Schizosaccharomyces pombe: one gene and its partner. The protein of the gene in region 1 interacts with the protein of each later gene in a pairwise test. Each region holds a gene or a part of one and is shown in the gene's direction. Other genes may lie near its edges. The genes, in order: isp3 and tnr3.

Region 1 (10,614 bases):
ATCGTATGTTCACTTCAAAATAGATATCGCTATCAGATGATCTTTGCTTTTCGTCGACTTTTGTCTTAAATTATCAGATTGCCAACGTCACATGAAATCGGAAAAAATAGTTGTGTTGCGAAATACTTCACATATAGGAGTAGTAATTCCGTGAAGTCTCAATCCTTCCTCTCATTAACTTGGTGTTTATTTTTTTAAAATGCTTTTCTAAGTGTAAACAGTTTTATCCTAGTAAAAGAAAATTTAATGACCAAAAACCCATATCTCTCTAGTTTCAAAATCCTTAGTAGTCTTCAGCGTATATTAATTGCTGTGGAAAACCTATGTCTTTTTGGGATGGAGTCTGCAAATTTTTTTTATTAGTTTTTATGAATTCTGGCTTATGAACTCTTATTAAATTTCATAATCAAAAGCACCTTTGCCAACTTTGACTAATATACCTTAAGAAAATTTCATTGAACTTTCTTGTTCTCGAGCAATTTATTCTCGACTAACCAAAATTTTATTTGATTTGAGCCTTATTTGTTCACACTAGGAGCATGAAACTTTCATACCGTTTTATTTGAGCTTTGTATTTTCGTGCACCAAACACAACCTAGGTTGTAGTATTATATCAATTTTTGCTTTATAATTTAAAAGACCAGACGACATGCAGCTGATTTTCAAAGTTGCATATGAAGGAAGCTTGTATAATTTGACTCTTCTCTCATGGGAGGTAAAATTTTTATTATTTTTTTTTTGGGAACCGGCGTACTAATGGACATTTGATCAGATAAATCGGAGTTCTATCAACCGCAAAAAGGATATAAAGGCGAGGCTTTCCTTTTACAATTTTGATGATAGAGGTTAAATAAAAAGTTTTTATTTTCCGTATTTCATTTTCCGGTTACAAATTCGTCCTTTCGGTTGGCATGCAAAAATGAACATCCTTGTTATCGCTATAACATTTTAATGGCTGCAATTTGTCAGCACGCAGTAATTCTGTAAATATCTTTAGCAATCGCGGATTTTTTTTTTTGAAAATTAAAAATTATAAGTCAGACTAATGAGTGCAAAAAAATTTCCATTCCATCTTAACCCTATAAAGTCATATCAGAAGTGGAACAGTCAACTTGCTCAAGTGTCTTCCATTAAACCATCTTATTTGACCAAATAATATTGTTAAAGGCATTGAAAGTACCGCTATTATCTCATCTGATAGTGACCATAAAATCATGAAATGGTTAACAGTGTTGAAGTGAAACCAGAACAAAGAAAACCATGTTTCAACACGCCAGAATTAAATTAAAAGGCTCAAAAAATAAAAAAAAGGATGTTAAATAGGTAGACGCGACGATTACTGTTTAATAATGAATAGCAGACTCGGGATCATATTATACTCTTCAGTAATGTTACTTTTCATTTAAGTTAAATGATAACAGCAAAAACAATCATAAGTTTTAGGACTTGAACGTGATATTTGTTGCGCTAAATAATGAACTTTTTGAGCTTAACGAAAACTTTGAGAATTCACTTATTTATCAACTACAAAGAAAATTAACTACACAATTATTTGGTTCGTTCCATTTGTTTTCAATCAAAATTTTTATTGAGTAAAAAGCTTACACATGAAGGATATAGTTACAGTTTGTCATCCGTTGATCAAAGCTTAAATTTCTTTCCAGCGGCCTTTCACATCCACTTTGGCACGTTCTTGAAGCTTTTTTCCATGCTTTTTAGCCTTATCAATCAATTTTGGTTCATCAATCGTTAATAAAACATGATCTTCCACAATCAGTTTTCCATCAATTACTACTGTCGCAACATCAGCTCCAGTAGCAATATAAACCACAGCAGATACAAGATCTCTAAGAGGTTGCGCATAAAGCTTATTAGATAAATCTAAAGAAATGAAGTCAGCTTTTTTGCCGACCTCTAAAGAGCCCAAATCATCTCTTCCCAATGCCTTTGCACCATTTATTGTAGCCATTTCAACGATTTTCTCAGCGGGAACTATAGACGGATCACCATGTAAAGCCTTTGGAAGCAAAGACGCCATCTTCATTTCTTGCAATAGATCCATAGTGTTATTACAAGGACATCCATCACAACCAATCCCAACTATTATTGACTTCTCGAGCATTTCTTTTAGTGGGGCGATTCCACTACCTAGTTTGGAATTTGATACCGGGCAATGAGCCACAGAAGTTCCATTTCCGTGTTTCTCCAAAATTTCTAAATCTTGAGTATCGAGATGAACCATATGTGCTAAAACAGTCTTTGGTCCTAAAAGACCTAGATCTTTGCAGTATGTCATCGGAGTATGTTCCTTGCTAGCAAAAAACTCTCTGTCGGCTTTTACTTCTGCACAGTGCATCGTAATTCCAATATTATTTGCTCTGGCAATTTTAACCATTTTACGATACAACTCTTCAGAAACACCACCAGGTGTTCGTGCTCCGAACCATATCTCGACTCGGCCATTTCCTTTCCCATGGAATTTGCTATGGCTTTCAACTGCTTGGTTGAGCGAATTAGAATTTTCAATCAAACCCTCATGCATGCTAACTCCAGTTTGAGTAGCATACCTTGGTTGATCCATTACCACTTTTCCTATGCAACCCCTTATTCCCGATTCTATTACCGCTTTGACCGCACCCTCAATTCCATACCGTTGAGCAAATAGTGCCTCAACGAATGTTGTGGTCCCAGATTTTAACATTTCCGCAATGGTTAATTGCGAAGCAACGTATCCATCTTCTTGGGTGAAATTACCCTGCATCTTCCAAACAGTGTCACATAACCAAGAAATTAGAGGCAAATCGTCGGCTGCAGAACGCAAAAGTGACTGTGCTAGATGTACATGGAGAGATATGAGTCCAGGCATCACTATATGGCCTTCTAAAGATTTATGTTTTTCATTTGGATATATTGAAACTAGTCTATCCGTTTTTCCTATATCATCGATGGTATTAGAACCATCCTTGACTAGTATTGCTCCATCAATTAGTATATCACGTGTTGGATTTACCGTAATAATATTAGCGTGAGTATACAACATTTTTCGGTAAATTTTGATTAAATTTATCTGGTATATATATATTATTAGTATGTATTATCCTATTCGGTAATAATCCGCTATGTCGGATAACTTTAAATAGATAAGCGGCACCCGCAACTTAACCATCAACGACCTGTTTGGGCTGTTAGTAATAATTATTTATTCTGGATCGATTTAGCTTTATTGGTTTGGTAAGCTAATACGTAGTAGTAAATTTTTCGCCTTCAAGATTTTTACAACGCCAACGAAATAATTATAGTTCAACTATTCCTCCAATTTTGACCTACTGTATAAATATAGTGGGAAAAATTCAGTAATCACTATTGGCTTAGTTTGAGGGAATTTTAAACCACAGCTCTATTAGAATAATAGTAACATTAAATTCTTTCTTTTTTAGGGAACTTCGGTTTTCTTTGTACTTCGTGCAAATAAAAAATGCCGAATTTATAATTCTAAAACTTAGTGACAATTGAATTTTTTTTAAATGTTTCTATATTGTTAAGCAATAAACGACTTTAAGCTTTTCATTAAGCGAATGAGATTATTTTACCCAACTTATATTAATATAGGATTGATCACCACAAACGTTAAATAAAGTTGTCAGTATCACGCTTACGAATCCAACGTTTTTAAAAACACATCTAATATCATTTCGTCTCTCCTTATAGTAATAAAATTTTTAAGCGTATACGGCTATTAACCAAGTGATCCTTTCTAAAATGTTTCCATCACTTTCTGTTGAACTTCTGTTATTATTGCTCATAAGTTTTAAAGATTTTATAATATTATGGTGAAGAGCTGTTTGAATAACGAATCACCGAAATTTACTATAAAGTTGACCTCACCACTTTTGCTTTCAAATCGAATAGACGACTGAACTAGCTCGTTATAGTCTATTTTGTTATTTAGAAAAATTTTAAGGATATGCAATTGTAAAACCTAATGCTGAGTGTAATGTGGTGAAGTCAATATACAACGTTGTGATATTATTTCAGAAAAATTTAATTCAAACTAACCATATAACATCCTTAACCGAATTGTTTTTCTATCGAAATCAGCTTATAGGGCATGACTGTATTTACAAACTTTATGTTATACTAGAAAAATTATTGTTACAAGACATGGGCTATCTTAGTAACATATAAGAACCATAACCAGATAGTCACAAGATGTTCATAAAAATAATCAATTTGACATAAAAACAAAAAATCACTTTGCTAAACGTAAACACAAGGAATAAATTCATAACAATTAACAATTTTGAAAATTTTTATATCTGATTGCCTCAGAAAACGAAAATCTTTCTTCAAAAAGCCAACCCAATAATCGAATATTTTGTATATATTTGATGTATTTTATGCGATACAGTTAAAGATAGCCTACAACTTGTGTTCATGATGCGAACATTTGCCTTAAGCAAATGTTTTCAGAATCAGAGAAGACGTACTTAAAGAATTTAAAAAAGTAAACTAATTAAATGCAAACAAAACAATGATCCTTAATTCCATGTATAGCATAATAGAATTTGTGGTTGTTCGTCACAGTGTAAACAAAAAACGGCTAGTGTAGTAATCTTTACGCCCACGATTATCCCGTCGGCATCGAAACACTAACTTGACGAACAAAGGCACTAAGCAATCTAACCAATAAACCTCTAGGAATTGAATTTACATTAATGCTTTGCTTGAACGTAAACAATTGAAGCTTTGCGATTCGTGCCTTTATCAACGTATTTTTTTTCTTTTATGGGGACTTATAACTCTATTTTTAAAAATATTTTGTTTTAGCCAATCATGAAACTCCAAAAATGATTATACGTCATTTTTTTTAATAAACAAAACATGTGTTTATGCTGAAAGCATCCACTGTAAACAAAAAAAAAACTATATAAGAAAGGGGAAATTCCAACTTTTAATTCAGTTCTTACCATTTCTTTTTACTCACTTAACTAGAAATCGGTTTTTTTAAAAAAGAAAACTACAGGAGCAGCCATCAATCAAAGCATTTCTTCTTCAGAATACAGGGAAAGTCATTTCAACTTTTCTATCTTTAAAAGTATTTTTTTGAATTTTCTGTTCAAAAAAATCACACAAAAGTCTAACTTTAGTAAAACTTTTCAGCTTTAAAAATGGGTCTCGGAAATTTGTGCTCTTACAAGCAAGATGATAGCTTAGATATTTTGCAAAAGAAGGTTTTAATTGATGCCTTTAACAAAGTTACTATTGATGGAAAGCCCAATGTCCAACATCAGCAGCCAACTTACTGGTATCCTCCTCCTCCTCCTCGTCATCACAAGGAACACAAAAAATCTCACCATCATTGGGAATATAGCAGTGATGATGATAGCAGTGATGATGAGGAGTCCTGTGAGAAGAAAAAACCCAAATGCTGTGAGAAGAAGAAACCCAAATGCTGTGAGTCTGAACAGAACAACGGTTGCGGTCGCAGAAACCAACTTGCAAGGCGCTTAGCATTTCTGGGTAGCTTTGGTGATGGTGACTGCGATGGCTGTAACGAGGCTTTTACCGTTACTGGTCCCATCACATATTTCAGAACCTGCCCTGATCCACTCACAGGTATAACCCCAGCTGTAGCTGCTGCAGCTGCTACTCCGGCGGCAGCTGCTACTCCTGCTACTCCGGCGGCAGCTGCTACTCCTGCTGCTCCTGCCGCATAGAGCAAAAATGCCCTTTATGCAAGGAAATAGAGTATTGCTGTTATCCAAATTGAGATAAAGACATTATACCATGGAAAGCACCATAACTATCAAAAACTCCCTAAGCTACTCTTGAATGTTAAAGCGGTTTCGATTACTTTCGGAGCAACGTTGTTTGTCAGTAGTTACTTACAAAGTGCATCTGGCGTTTTGAAGTTGACTTTAAGGAGTCGAAAATTTGAGATTTTGGAAAAGATAATGGCAAAATCCATTTTAACGTGGAATCCAAGTCTGTATCAGACAACACACTTTTATCAAAATAACTAATTTCCCACCTTTCTTTAGTTATACTTGCGCGCTGGGTTTTTGTCTTTTAGATAGATGTAGGCTACTCGTGTTGATGTTCACGGAATAAAATTGAGGCTGCTCTTTTTTTTTTATACAGTGTACCTTTTCGTATGTTTAATTTGTTTGTCCATGATTATTTGTAAATTAAAAAATGTGGTTGAATTCGTTAGTTGGTATGAAAGCGTTAAATATAAGACTATACTAAGAAATGAGATATGCGTAAGTGGTCGCAAAACACAGTACAATAAACAAATTCTGTAGAATTAGATTCAGCAACCAACTTAATAATTAATTCAACATCCAAAGATTTTTACTATTCAAGTTTAATCAATTAATTTACCCAATCAAGCTTCCTAAGTACGATAAAATATAAAGTGCATAAATGATCGGATTGTAGTATTGCTTAGAGAAACTACTTAGAGGTTTATATGCCATTCAGTAATTGAACATATTTGATTTAACTATTCAGCGGTTAACATTATTGAACCAACCATAAAATAAAATCAGTTTTCCTTAATATGATACGTTATTCTGCAACCTTTATTCAATTAACTTCTTTCGGCTGAAAGGATACTAAAAACATCCGCAGGTCATTTCTCAAGCTATTGAGCACACCTAACTAAGCACGAAGGTTAATACGACATTATATTGAGAACTTGATATTAAGTACCAGATTCAAACTAATAATCAAATTTATTATAGCTGAAACAATTCACAATAACATTTTACCCTTTAATAATTCAGATGATTAATCTTCATTGTGTACATTTTTTAAAAAATCAATTCGTACTTTTATATGTTTAAGGAAATCTACATGAGTTGACAAACCAACAAGCAGGTTTCATATATTTCAACTACATATTTCACGATGCTGCGCATTAATGCTGATTAAACAAGTATGGAGCGTTCAAAATGCGTTTACAATTTAAAGGTTGCTACTCTATAATAATCCTAATCTTATAAGGTTGAAAAAATCGGTTAACATTATTGAACCAACCATAAAATAAAATCAGTTTTCCTTAATATGATACGTTATTCTGCAACCTTTATTCAATTAACTTCTTTCGGCTGAAAGGATACTAAAAACATCCGCAGGTCATTTCTCAAGCTATTGAGCACACCTAACTAAGCACGAAGGTTAATACGACATTATATTGAGAACTTGATATTAAGTACCAGATTCAAACTAATAATCAAATTTATTATAGCTGAAACAATTCACAATAACATTTTACCCTTTAATAATTCAGATGATTAATCTTCATTGTGTACATTTTTTAAAAAATCAATTCGTACTTTTATATGTTTAAGGAAATCTACATGAGTTGACAAACCAACAAGCAGGTTTCATATATTTCAACTACATATTTCACGATGCTGCGCATTAATGCTGATTAAACAAGTATGGAGCGTTCAAAATGCGTTTACAATTTAAAGGTTGCTACTCTATAATAATCCTAATCTTATAAGGTTGAAAAAATAAAATAAAAACATAGTACGGCAGAGGTATACAAATAATCATAAGCTTTGCTATCATCGCCTAGCTTTTAAATATTGCGATGATATACGTTCGGGACTTTATAATAAATTTATATATCGCTCATTTACTTTTGAATATTTGTCTAAACCAGGTATTTTTTGAATAGAGGCTACAGTATTTTCATTGAGAGACTTCGATATCAAAGACTTTTCGGAATGCGCCAAATTAGTTCAACAATACCACATCACGCTACAATTACGACGCAACGTTGCGAATCACTATAAGCCATATGTTAAAACACTACTTAAGATCGGCTTACAAGATAATCACGAAATACTATCCATCTATCAGTTCAGATACCCGTTGATTACAGTTTTAAAATTGATTGTAAATAGAGCTACAACTGAACCTCGTTCCTCAGTTCAGTTATGAGCTATATTAGTGATAGGTAACATTATAACCCAGTTAATACAATACCTATACTTAGTTGCTACTTATACTACCTGTGTAGTGTAATATAATAGATCACAGGCAAACTCACCCCAGTTCTACGGTCGTTTAAACAGATACTGACTGCGTAGCTGACATAACAAACCAAAACTATGGTGAGTTTTACTTGTGATCTATTATATTATACGTAGGTAACGCAAATAACAGTTGTTATAAGTATTGTTATATTGTTATCTAACACTGGTATAGCTTATAACTGAGCTGAGGAACGAGGTTCAGTTGTAGCTCTATTTACAATCAATTTTAAAACTGTAATCAACGGGTATCTGAACTGATAGATGGATAGTATTTCGTGATTATCTTGTAAGCCGATCTTAAGTAGTGTTTTAACATATGGCATATAGTAATGCGCAACGTAGTCTAGTTTTGCTGACACGTTAAACCAGATACCAAACTGTGTAGCTGACAAATAAAGAAAATGTTAAAACGGGACGCAACTCCATAAAATTCATTAAATATAATTAAGCGGCGTACTTACTACAAATAGCGTATTGTATATATCCAACAATCACAATTTTAAGCTATCATATCAATTTGTGTATTGTTTTTGCTATATAAAATCAAACACTTAAAGGATGAGAATATAGCAAACATGCTACCGAACGTATCAAAAAAAAAAAAGGAAAATAGGTTCATGAGAATGAAAAGGATTTAGTGATTCGAGCTTTCATTTCGACTTGAGCTTCGCTTGATGCCCGGTTTATTTCAAAACCAATATGAAAGACATTTTATCGTTACTTCTTTCTTCTGTTTTGTATGGAATCGAATAGATCTTTAGTTAGGCGTTTCTAATTGACCAATTAACGTTATTAATATTTTTAGATTTTCGCAGCAACAACTTAAATTTTCCGAAAGTAGCAACACTGGTTATCATTTTTGCAAACTTGGTGTACACCAATAGTTACTTTGCTGGGAAAAAACAAGGAGTATACTCTATATATAGAAAGCATCTAAATATGAAGAAGTTGAGTTACATTCATAGCCTTTGTCTTAAATTCCACATTTAAAAATTTTTTTAGTATAAAAAACCCGATTCTCCTTGTAGAACGTTCAAATCTAGACATAATCTATTCTTCTAAAACCGAACAGATTTGGAACCACGTTCTAATCAGTGCTAGATTGAATATTTTTCTAAAAAATTTACGATGAATTCGTACATTTCCTTAATATTTACACTGCTTTTTTTTACGAGCGCTGCTCGTTCAAGCAGCGTCTCGGTGGAAACTGGCAGTTGCGTTCGTTACACAACCATCTATAGCTCTGGATCATCCGAGTTTACTTCTACTATCACCCCCGAAACTCCATCCAGTTCCTCTAGCACATTTGTCCCGATTTCAACCCATACTTCAAGTGCTACGAACACCACCTCTGGCCAACTTTCTATAAGCAGCTCAAGTTCGACTTCGTCTGAGTATTCATCTTCCAGTATCCCTATCACAACTGTTAGTTCTTCTGACTCATTCATTCCTTCATCATCTCAAACTATAAGTGCTTCAAGCTCAACAACTGACAATGTCATTGTAAGCAGTTCAATAAGCTCTACTGTTTCAAGTACACCAGTTTCTACAATTTATAGTGGAACATCAGGTACAACATTCGTTTCTTCATCCACAACTTATCAAGTTATTCCAACTCAAATATGTGATGGAGTTCGTGGATTAGAATACGCGGTATACAATTATGACTTGCCTTCTGAGTCTACATTCTGTCACCCTTCGAATGGTTATACCGAGGTGAGCACTTTTAATAAGCCAGCCTATTTTGGATCTAAAGACTTAAAGCAGAGTGCGCCTCTTTTTACTGGTATATTTTCATCTCTTGATGACATTCCCACCTATTCTGCTTCCGATTATCTTCCTGCTTATCCTCCTAATCCTGAAGGGATGTCTTCCACTTCATCTTCATGCAAAACAATTGTTTATCAATTTTTCTTCAGGGTTCCTGCTACTGATAACTGGAGTTTATTCGTTAAGAACGTCGATGATGCTTTCTTCGGTTGGTTCGGAGACAAGGCAATTTCTGGATGGTCAAATGTTAACTATGATGCATACGCTCACTGGAGAATAGGTGCCTATGGTATGGGAACCTTTGATTTAGGTTATCTTGAACAGGATAGCTTTGTTCCAGTTAGATTTGTTTTGGCTAATGGAGCTTACATTGGTGGATTTGACTTTGCCTTCAATTCTTCTTCGACTGGTCCCGTTCGTACCACGTCATACTCCTACACTTCCACTTGCGATAAATCTTTCTTACCTTTCGGAAAAGGCAACGGTGGATTGGATGAAGGTACTGCAAATGTTTAAATTATTACGGCCCTTTAAGCCTCAAACGGCACTTTGAATTTTAATTTATTAATTATTTATTATTATAATAGATTGAAAGCTCTTTGACTTTTTATGCCAAAACCGCTTTCTAACACATTCTTTGTCTGACTCATCAAAGTCAACGATTATACTTAGTTCGCTATTAACTAATCCAAACACTCGTTTAAACAGCCTTCAATGTAAGGTAAAGAGGCAGACTTCTTCTATCTAATTAATAGTCATTCTTTCTTTTAATAATTTTGACAAATAGATTCAG
Region 2 (11,381 bases), 1.2 Mb from region 1:
CTTTGCGCTCAATAACTTTTTATGGGTTTAGGATTCATTAATCAATCTTTTAATCAGTGTGAAGTATTAAAATAAAAAGTTAAGTTTCAAGCACTATGTAGGATTTTCTCAAAGTCGAGCGAGATACGTTGAAATGAGTTTAAGAATGAGTTATTACCGTTACAATAGTATTCTAGTAATTCCCATCAAAGGGACTAATCAGGCTAGTTAATAGCTATTTGTATTGTTTTCTATGTACTTCTTTGGTGACAACAAGGAAAAGTGGAAAAGTATAAGATACTTGGAAAAATTTAATCAAAATCTCAAAACTCATAATTTCAGTGAAAAGAATATAGTCGGATGTATATATCCTTCCAAAATATCGCATTTGTAAGCTTTGGAACGAGATTTAAAAGAAACAACGTAGATTGCTAAAGGGGAATATGTGAAGATCATATGTAAGCTATAAAAGTAATTTGCACAACAAAAGGCAATCTCCAAACAATCCGAGATATTTGGGTGAAGTAAAGTTTCACTGAAGAAGGTGGTAAGAAATCGTCATTACCATATTCAATTGTAGTCCAGACACCGATATGTGAAAGAAATTGGTAAGAAAAAGGAAAATGTTTGCTTTGTAACAAAACATCACTATAAATTTCTTTATAGTACTGAATACCGAGAATTTTGAATAACCAAGTAGATTTGAAATTTACGATTTTAAAAAATAAGGCTGGCATAAATAATGACTACTTCCAGCTTTTTGCAACGTCAAAAGCCCAAACAAATTCATGATGGACCACTTTATCATCATCAACAAACTTTCCATTGGCTTCATAATGTCCGCGAGCCAGCATACCTGTAGGTGCCTCATCTGGTTCAGAGGTAAAATCATAAGGTGTTTCAGAAGGTCCATAGGAGCCAATCATGGTAGATGTTTTGTCAACAACAAAGCCACGTCTGCGAACAGTTTGGACATATCTTAAGCCTGAAATTACTTCGTGTTGTACACGAAATTTAACACCAATCTTAAACTCGCTTCCTTCCTTAATAGTGAACCCTTTCTTGCGGATTTGTTCGACACTTGCTGCATCTTCCATGTTAACATCAACTGGGTCACGGCCGTCAACAAGTAAACTCAGCTTTAAAATAACAACTGTTCTACGATCATTCGAGGGTGAATAACCTGTTCCCGTGATACCCAGAGATGCTTTCCATTTCTGCAATGATTCATCTTCGGCATCCATCTTCATATATTCATTAAGTGATTTCTTTTCTCCCAGAGAAACCGGAGGTCCATGCTCAAATGTATCATCCTCTAGTTCAGGGTTATGTTGATCAGCGGATACTTCATTGTTAACACTCATTTTAAAACAACGCAATAGAATTTAATTATCTGCCAGTAGCTAAACCAAGGACAATTTGTTTTTATAAAAAAAGTTCAGATTCGTTGTTTTGTTAATGTACTGTTCTAGAGTTGAAATTGGCAAAGGGAACATAGCATATTGCTATCTCAACAATATAACCAGATGTACTACTATGTTAACATTTCGGTGACTTGGATTATTTTAAATATAACGGAGATGCAGAAAAGCGTGAGAAAAGTATAAGATTTTTTTTTTCTTTCTATTCCCTTCGATTTTTTTTTTAGTGTCATTATCCATGCTTTTATACATGTAAATATGTTGGAGTAATCCCAAGCATTGACGTCTTATGAGACGTAAAAAAGAAGGAACTTTCTATGCTAGCTTTTCTGTAGGCAGATGTTCTTTACATGAAATTGTTTGAGCAGCAAGTTATAGCTGTAGTCGATAACTATTATACAACCAGATTTGATACGTTTAGCGGAAAAATTATCAATCACTTCAGGAATTATTATTAAAAAACTTACGAAGGAAGTCCACTGAAAATAAAAATCATGTGAAAGATACGCTTAACTATACCAAACCCTAATTAATTACAAAAACGGCGGTTGGTGTTAAAGTGAAAATTAGTAAGCCAATCTGTGTGCTATTATTTTTAATACCAAGACATTCCTGGCACGGAGTTCTGCTCCCATTGTAATTTTCCTCGTAGACCACACTCTTGAAAGACAATTACTAGATTACCTTGATTAAGGTACTGTTTGTTTAATATCAACTTCTTTTTTGTTTTTAAAGATCATTTTGAAAGGGGTTTAATAGATTAGCATTTCGTTATACGATAAGGTTTTAGTCAACTACCCGATTTCTACTACCAGGAACCAGTTTCCTTGAGCTTTTACCATTTGCTAGTATAGGGTGTTTTATATATTATTCTATTTATGTTGAATTGAACCATAAGTGTCTCCTTCGCATAAATACACTAGCCTTTTTTATTCCTGTTTTATTTTAGAACACTATCCATTTGAGAGGAAAATTTGGGCAAGGTAATGGCAATGTCGTCTATCACCTCTGCTAAACAATTAAATGCCGAAGAGCTTTTAGATGAATGCGATTCTTTTAATGGGGAATTTGTTCCTGGAACAATTCCCTTCCGTGCAAATGGCGCTGCCATTGGATATGTTACCCCTTTGGTACTAGAAATCCTCATAAAGGCGGATAATTTCAAATTCAATTGGGTTTATGTTCCAGGAGAGTATATTGAAATAAACGCATCTACTTTTGAAAAAAGAACTGACATCTTAGCTAAGGTACTGGAGCATTGGCGCCATAACAATACATTTGGAATTGCTGATCAATGGAGGAATGAATTATATACTGTTTATGGAAAATCTAAAAAGCCTGTATTGGCCGTTGAACGGGGCGGATTTTGGTTATTCGGTTTTTTGAGCACTGGTGTGCATTGTACCATGTATATTCCAGCAACTAAAGAACATCCTCTTCGTATTTGGGTACCACGAAGATCACCGACTAAACAAACGTGGCCCAATTATTTAGATAATAGCGTTGCCGGCGGAATTGCTCATGGTGATTCAGTCATAGGCACTATGATAAAGGAATTTTCTGAAGAAGCTAATTTGGACGTTTCTTCTATGAATCTTATTCCTTGTGGCACTGTCTCCTACATCAAAATGGAGAAAAGGCATTGGATTCAGCCCGAGTTACAATATGTATTCGATTTACCTGTTGATGATCTTGTTATCCCAAGAATTAATGATGGAGAAGTCGCTGGTTTCAGTTTATTACCATTGAATCAAGTACTTCATGAACTTGAATTAAAAAGTTTTAAGCCAAATTGTGCTCTGGTTCTTTTAGACTTTTTAATCCGTCATGGTATCATTACTCCACAGCATCCTCAGTATCTCCAAACTTTAGAACGGATACATAGACCGTTGCCTGTTCCTGTTGGAAAATATGAAAGAGGGGATTCTTTTGAAGATACTTCAAAGAAAGCTGAAACGTGTGTTCCTGCAAAACCCCAAAAAGCCACTCATCAGCTAGCTCCATGTAAGGCTTGGTTACGTGACTATGATACTGATCAAAAGTTTGCGGTATTACTATTAAATCAACCCATAGATATACCGGATGATAGATTTCGTACTTTATGGAAAAGAGCTAGTATCCGAGTCTGCGCAGACGGTGGTGCTAACCAATTGAGAAATTACGATTCTTCGCTCAAACCGGATTATGTCGTTGGTGACTTTGATTCGTTAACAGATGAAACTAAAGCTTATTATAAAGAAATGGGAGTCAACATTGTATTCGACCCATGCCAAAACACCACTGACTTTATGAAATGCCATAAAATAATTAAAGAACATGGGATTGATACTATTTTTGTATTATGTGGCATGGGTGGAAGAGTTGATCATGCCATTGGTAATTTAAACCATCTATTCTGGGCCGCCTCGATTTCTGAAAAGAATGAAGTATTTCTATTAACTGAATTGAATGTATCAACTTTGCTTCAACCCGGAATAAATCATGTTGATTGTCACGACAACATTGGTTTACATTGCGGTCTTCTGCCAGTAGGACAGAGTGTGTATGTTAAAAAAACCAGCGGCCTTGAGTGGAATATTGAGGATCGCATTTGTCAATTTGGAGGACTCGTCAGCTCTTGCAATGTAGTGACAAAAGCAACGGTGACTATAGAGGTCAACAATTTTATAGTATGGACAATGGAAACACGTCTATAAGACCTGTAAGTAAGAAACTCAGAAAGAATATTCATTATTCCCAACAGCTCAAAAAAATTAAGATATTTATTTAGATATAAAAAATATAAAACATCTATAGAGTATAAGCGGTAATGGTCATAAAGCAAAAAGATAATTGATTAGAGTAATGAAATAAAATAGAATTTTAGTAAAGCCAACTAACATTTTGAACTGCAAGATACATCTCAGAAAGTGAAGAAATAGAAAAAAATCATAATTTTTCATATTGTTGAGCTTGACATGTCATTTTTATCCTCCTCGATACACCCGACAGTTCAGAATCCAAGCTGGACAATTAAAGGTATTTGAATGTATAACCCTAAAACCCATCACAAATACCATAGCTACTACGCTAATGTTGATATACAAAAATTATACATAGTTAAGAGATCGTATACATATTTATACTCATTAACTACTCTGAGGATGACTGCTAAAGTGACTGTCTTTTAGAACACCTACCCTGAAGAAAACGAATGTATCCAGAATAAATCATATGTAGGAGGACATCGGGAAAAGAGGGGGGTAGGAACAAGAACCGAATCAAATAATATAGTTAGAAATAAAAAAAAGTCTACACTTCATCAACGTTATCATCCCAATCATTATCACGCATGCTTCTGGGAGCGTAGTCTTGCAATCCTGCTACGTAGTTTGCACCACAGTAGGCGATACCTGCAAGAAGAACTAAAAAGCCTAGGAAAGAAGTAAACCCGGAGTAAGAAAAGAGTAAAGTACCCATGAAAGCGTAGAAGAAGCCCCTTCCTAAGAATGAGAACATGAACGATCCATATTTAATAGCAATAGGAGGAATTTCCTTTTCTAAACCAATAGTTCCCAAACCGAAAACGATGATGAACAATGCAAGTAAAGCGTTTACGAAGCTAAATGAAAATAACTTGATAAATCCGCTTAAAACGAAGATACCACCTACGCCCAAATTAATGGCACTAAACATTTTTGTTTTATCCATTGTGAATTAAGTGTATGCAACCAATATTAAATTTTTCAAGCAATATGTATTTTAGTCGATGTTTGCTTAAAGACAAAGAGAAATGCAAGTTACTAAGCCTGCCTATGCTTACCGATGCGGTCATGCATATTTACGAACTATTGAAATACGGTAAATAAAAATAACGAATTCCATAATTCTCAACCAACTTTTTGTTGTTTACAGAAAATGAATAATTCAATTCATCGAAAATGCATTTTGTTTTCTATAGCATTCTTTGTACTGTTTTTGAAGTTAAAAACACTATCATTTAGTAAATAATGTACTTTCGACCCGGCTTTTTTTTGAGACAACTGTTGTTGACAATTTTAAGGTCTGTGGGTCAATTTATATATTTGTCAAACGTTCGTAAACAAATGTATTTGTATCTTAGTTTCATACGAGCTCCTTTAGCTATATGTGATCTACTCTCACTCGGGATCTACAGGGCTGTAAAATTTTTTGCACTCAAGTTTCACGCGATTATTATCAGATGCACCTGAATAAAAAAGAATAAAGTAAAATAAAAAGCCGAATGTTTTATAACGTAGTAAAATTCCTTCTTATTTTGATCGCTTTGCCATTCATTTGATTATGTTTATAATGATAATTTCACGTGCAATGTCAACTTTGATAGACGGCTACATCTATTTCTAATTCGTAACGCTATAAAAAAAAACTCCATTTTAAACTGAGAATAAAGCAAGAAGTCGATTAGCCGAATATAGATATCAGCATGATTCGTTTTAAACGGCCCAAAGCCTTGTATATATTTGAGTAATTTTCTACTGTACTTAATTGTCTGTAATTAAACAACTATTTGTTACTCCTACCTTGTTACACTTGGATTTAATACTCTGGAATTAGTGTACTAACTCCTAAATAAATATTTAAGTAGTATTTTTCTTTAAGATATTTCTTTAATAAACATTCTCTTCTAATGAAAAGAAAAGCGTCATTATTGGTATTTTAGTTTTCAGAGCAAAGAGGTACTTAACATTTATTATGTCGCAATTATTTTATATATATATTATATTAATATTTTGTAATGAGAAACCTAGGCCTAATAGTGTAGTGGTTAACATACCTCTTTCGGGTAATCCCCACTTGTATGCTGAGTTTAGAGGTGATCCCTGGTTCGAATCCTGGTTAGGCCCCTTTTTATACTGGGCTTGCTGTATAAATTTATCTGATTAATTTTGAAACTACGCAAACCAACTTTCAATAATTAAAAAGTTTTCCTTACACCTTGCTTGATTACCTTTTAATAGATGTGAAATAAGAACTACTAAATTTGTGATAAATACCGAAAACAATCAGAAGAGTCGAAAAGAAGCATTCAAAAAATTGTGTAAATAACGAGTAGGTTTCTAATAATACGATAATTTCACAGGATGCCTATAATGGATCTGGCAGCTAATGAGCAAATCATTTTTACTTTTTTTTTTATTTAAAACATACGAAAAGATTCTCTTTTTTTGCTGCAAACAAAATTTACTGTAATTGAACCTAGAATTGGTAGCAAAGGCATTACACCGTATTACTGTAAACTTCACTAATGTTTGTGTTTTTAGGCGCATGATGAACATGATTACTCAAGAAAGTAACCAGCGACTATGTCAAATTTGCTTCTGATCATTGACTCGGTTTCACAAAAAATAAGAGACAGGAGGAAGTTGGAAGAGTTTGGACAGAATCCCGATGAAGAAATTGAGTCTTCATTGAAAGATGTTCGGCAAGAATTGCAAAAACTTAATGAGGAGCAATCGCGATTAGAGAAAAATGCACAAATCCCAGAGTACAGAGTACGAGAATCCGAAGCATTTCTTATTAGAATGCAAAGGAGGTTAGAGTCTGCTGAGGAAGAGTTTGAGAAGCAGCGGCGTGCATCCTCAATTCCTGCTGACGGAACAAGTGCCTTTTCTGCAAACCCGCAAGTTGCAAGTACGAATAATAAGTTAACTCCCCTTCCTTCTTTACAAAAAACGACTTCGAGTAGTGAGGGATCTGATATTGAGATGGAGGCCATGTATCCGGTTGATGGCAATGACCCTGATCCCATAAACGTAAACGTTTTGGCTCAAATGCATCAGCAAATGCTCAACGAACAAGAAGAATCTTTAGGAGGGATCGAAGCAAGTGTCCAAAGGCAAAAGCGGATGGGATATGCAATGAATACAGAATTGTCCGAACAAAATGTTTTACTAGATAATATGAATAATGATGCTGATCGAATTGAGAGGAGGTTTGATCATGCAAAAAATCGATTAAACAAGGTCAGCCGAAAGGCTAAACAGTATCCCAGATGCTTTATTATTTTGCTCCTTTGTGCGTTGTTATTACTTGTGGCTTCCATTTAGGGTGCAAATAAATATCACTTAGCAATTGTACTTGCTGTAACTCTGTTACACTTTCACTTAATTCTTTTATTTCACGTCCTCTTTGAACTAGGCTATATAGTTCTTTTATTTATATTTAATAACCGTGATATTTACGAACTTTTTTTTTACGATTTTGAAAATGTTTTTGTGATCTTCAACTTCTTTTGCTAAACGAACCTTCCCTTTATAGGGAATACAGAAATTAACTTTTTCGTACATTCCAGTTTCTAACCATTGACTGTCTTTCTACTTTAGTAATTATTTTTCTGCTAGCGCATTTCTTATCGAAATCATTTTTGTGTTCTTTTAAGGGCCGTCCCCCTTGTTCACAAAGCTAGTTTTGACGACTTAAATCAAGTGAATATAGTGCATGCAGAGTGAATGCTTAATAACCATTTGTTACAAACTTTGTTTCGCTAATAACTCCTTATTTGACATTTGAATAAATAACCTATTAGACTTTCAAAATTTTTAGATTCAGGGCAGTAAACAATAAACAACAATATCTTCAATTAGCTGTATCAATTTATTTTCAGAAGTTTTGCTATATTATTCCTTCATCTCATTAAAAAATATTCTCTTCTATTATTAAACATACGTAGTCATGTTATCATTATCATTATTAAGGAAAAGTTTGAACGAGTAGATTCTTTCTTGAGAATTAAGGGAACATGTGCTTGAATGCCATTTTTTTCATCTTAAATATAAAGCCTCCGTTGCTATTGTTAACCATATCACGCTGAACCTTTTTTGATAATAAAATATCAGAAGCAACCCTCTTAACTAATGTGTTGTGAACCTCTCAGCATTGCATATCTTAGCGTAATTAAATATTCGGTAAAAGAGGATCGTTTTCCTATCAACAATTGAACCCCAAATCAAAATATTCAAAACTTCAGATCAATCCTTAAATTAATTAAAAACCGAATCAAAGCTAGTTGATTTTTGTTTAAAAAAACTAAAAGATGCATTTCATTAAGAAACAAATAGTATAAAATATAAAGATATGAAAAAAATTAAAATGAGGGCGGTTGATTCCGATTATTATCTGTAAGCAAACCGGAAGTTTCGGATACAGGATAATTAAAGTCTGAAGACCAATTTGCCCCATTGTTATTGAATGAATTAAAATTAAAGAAAGGAATTGAATTGGAATTATCTAATTTCTCAGACTGAAAATTAGTCTCCATTTGATCCCCTTCGTTGTTCAATGAATTTGAATTCTCAACGCCTTCAAAATTGTAAGAGTCAAAATATCCCATCGAAGCGAAGGCCTGATCTTTATCGGTAATTTCTTCAGATAATGAAATGCCTTCTTCTTTGATGCCTTCTGATATTCTTCCTTCCATATCAACATAGCCTTTTGGAGGATAAGCTTCAGATGGATATTGCTCTGTTCCTAATGGCGAATTAACATGTGCATATGTGGGCAATCCAGAAGGGATCGAAGAAGGACTCAACGTTAATGGTTGCTGCATTAAAGATTCAGGGCTATAACAGCTCGGTGAAAAATTAGTGCCACTAGGCGATATGCAAGACTGACGCATATGTTCGAGATTATCAAGACGAGTATAATCCACAGAATTACTCTTAGGAGGATTCTGAAAAAAGTAACTATTTGATTTGTTGATCAAAGAATCTTTTGGTGAAGCATGAGGAGAAGGCATAGCCTGAAGATTAAGAAACGAAGCAGAAACATCAGATGGGCCACTAGGTTGATTGAAAGTAGGAAGATTTAAAGACTCACTAAAACTCATCCAATCCAATTTATCAATCTCGTACCCTTCAGGAATAGATTCAGGAAGTGTCATATTCATAGCGTAATTTCGTGAAACGGCGTTAGGTGAATACGGCATTCTAGCCAAACTTTCATCGTCTAATTGACCTGAAAGGCTTTCAGGTCTATTAAAGTCATAAAGCTGCGGGTGTTGATAAACAGAAGGCCTCAAATCGCTGGCAATGGTTGCCCTACGATAGTACAAAGGACTGTCGGGTCCATAAGGCACACCGAGACGTTGATCTGACCATTGAGAAGATGTAGGATTTACTGCACCAGATGCAGAGGCATTTACCGTTTCCCTCCCATTACCGGCAGAAACCAGCCTTTGTTGTTGGGCTTGCAACCAACTTGCAGAAAATGAACCTGAGTTGTTCGCAAGCTGCGCTTGTAGTGCGGCATGCAACTTTGGATAACGAAATTTGTCAATGGAATCTGCCTGAGGTAAAGAAATAACAGGTTTAGAAGCTAAATTTGTTGTGCTTACCGAAACATTTGAAAGAGAAGGATTGGGTAAAGCCGTTGTTGAACGACGTCTTCTTCGAGGTTGTGGATTCCTATGGATTTTCTGTTGGTGACGAAGTAGAAGATCACGCCTCGAAAACTGTCGACCACAACCTGTAGGTAAACCATCAATCTCACTACAAGTAAAAGGCTTTTCGTTGGTATGAGATCTGATATGTCGTTTAAGATGCTCCAATCGAGCAAAAGCGCGTGTACATGTTTCACAAACATATTGTTTAACTTTCTGGGGTGGGGCATTAGGGTCCTTTTTAGCAGCGGTAGAAGAAGCCACAGGTTTTGAATTAGAAGTAACAGAGCTGGGTGTATTAGCATTAGAGGTACCAGAATCGGAATTAATAGACATCAAGTTTTCCGAAACTTTTGATTCGGATAAAGTATTAGCTTTCGAGGCTATCGGTGCTAAAGACTCACGCGTCATGATAAAACAAGTTTTCAAATTAAACAATTATTTTCTTATTTTTCAAAAGAAGAATATGTTGTTAAAATAAAAGATATGAAGGGAAATAAAGCTTGAAAGTGATTGCAATCAGGATTCAAAAAGACTAAAAACGAAAACCGCAAAATAATTTTCGAAAATGAAATGCAAGATCCTAAATTAGTTATCAACAAGTCAGAAAAAAGAAATAGCTAAATAAATCAAAATTGACTTGTCAGAGAAATACAGGTAGGCAAAAATAAGCAAGATATAATCTGCCAAATAATTTTACCAAATAACGTTAATAGCAAAGCAACAGAATATGTTAAATATTTCTTAAGGACAACAGGGAGATGAGAAAAGTAGTTGAAGAAGGAAAATATGAGGAGAACTGTTGAGATGCCAAACTTTTTTTTTTTAAAGGGGATAAAAAAAGAGTGTAATCAAACAAAAAGCCACCGCGAAGAACAACAAGGAAAGAAGGTCGGTAAAATAGACAGAGAAAGAATAAAAACAATCGATTGAACCTGCACACAGTAATAGCACAGATAAACAAGAAAAGACACTTGAAAAACTTAATGTACTTCAGAAGAGTCTATTTCAAAAAAAGCCTGGAAAATAAATTTCAAAAAGATAAACGCCATCCACACTTTAAATAGAATTAGACACTAACTAGGAAATAAGAAACGTATTGTCGAAACAATGTACGTCAAGAGGAGAATCGGAAATGTAAGGAAAGGAGAAAGAATTAACAGTCAAATAATAACTGAAACAAGGCACGTGAAGGACAAAAAACGAATCCTATAACATATATACTAAATGTCTGATAGATTGGTTAAGGATGTCAATTTTATACATCCAAACTAAAAAATATAAAATAACAGACAAACGCTTTGCGGTTTTCCTATTTCACAAAGGAAAAACCAAAATTGAATGATAAATGAAGTGTATCCTATGCGAATTGTAAAGAACAAATCAGCTTTTAACACTTAAAAACGAATTTTAGTGCAATAATCTTCAATGATCTGAAACTCTGCAGTGAACTCGTATTTTACAATTCGAATAAATGAAGTTATTGCAACTTAGAAGTAAAAATCTTCTAGTGTAAAAGATTCTCTTTCCTTTCTAAGCTTACTAACTGGTCAAGTGGCGAAAAGCCGGATATCGACGATTAA

Evidence for each region.
Region 2: the proteins of isp3 (region 1) and tnr3 interact in a two-hybrid assay, tested with the Schizosaccharomyces pombe proteins (one large-scale study listed by BioGRID).

Annotation. Positions count from the first base shown.
Region 1 is NC_003424.3:90,832-101,445, forward strand, and holds isp3 (protein isp3), read left to right. Parts: upstream 1-4,958; 5' UTR 4,959-5,168; coding exon 5,169-5,717; 3' UTR 5,718-6,135; downstream 6,136-10,614. Other genes in the region: hhy1 (hydrolase), read right to left, coding at 1,649-3,040; pfl8 (glycoprotein), read left to right, coding at 9,180-10,337.
Region 2 is NC_003424.3:1,309,808-1,321,188, reverse strand, and holds tnr3 (thiamine diphosphokinase Tnr3/ Nudix hydrolase fusion protein), read left to right. Parts: upstream 1-2,210; 5' UTR 2,211-2,386; coding exon 2,387-4,096; 3' UTR 4,097-4,208; downstream 4,209-11,381. Other genes in the region: Rho GDP dissociation inhibitor Rdi1, read right to left, coding at 726-1,343; tvp15 (COPI-coated vesicle-associated protein), read right to left, coding at 4,692-5,090; fsv1 (SNARE Stx8), read left to right, coding at 6,725-7,468; DNA-binding transcription factor, glucose starvation sensing, Rst2, read right to left, coding at 8,506-10,209.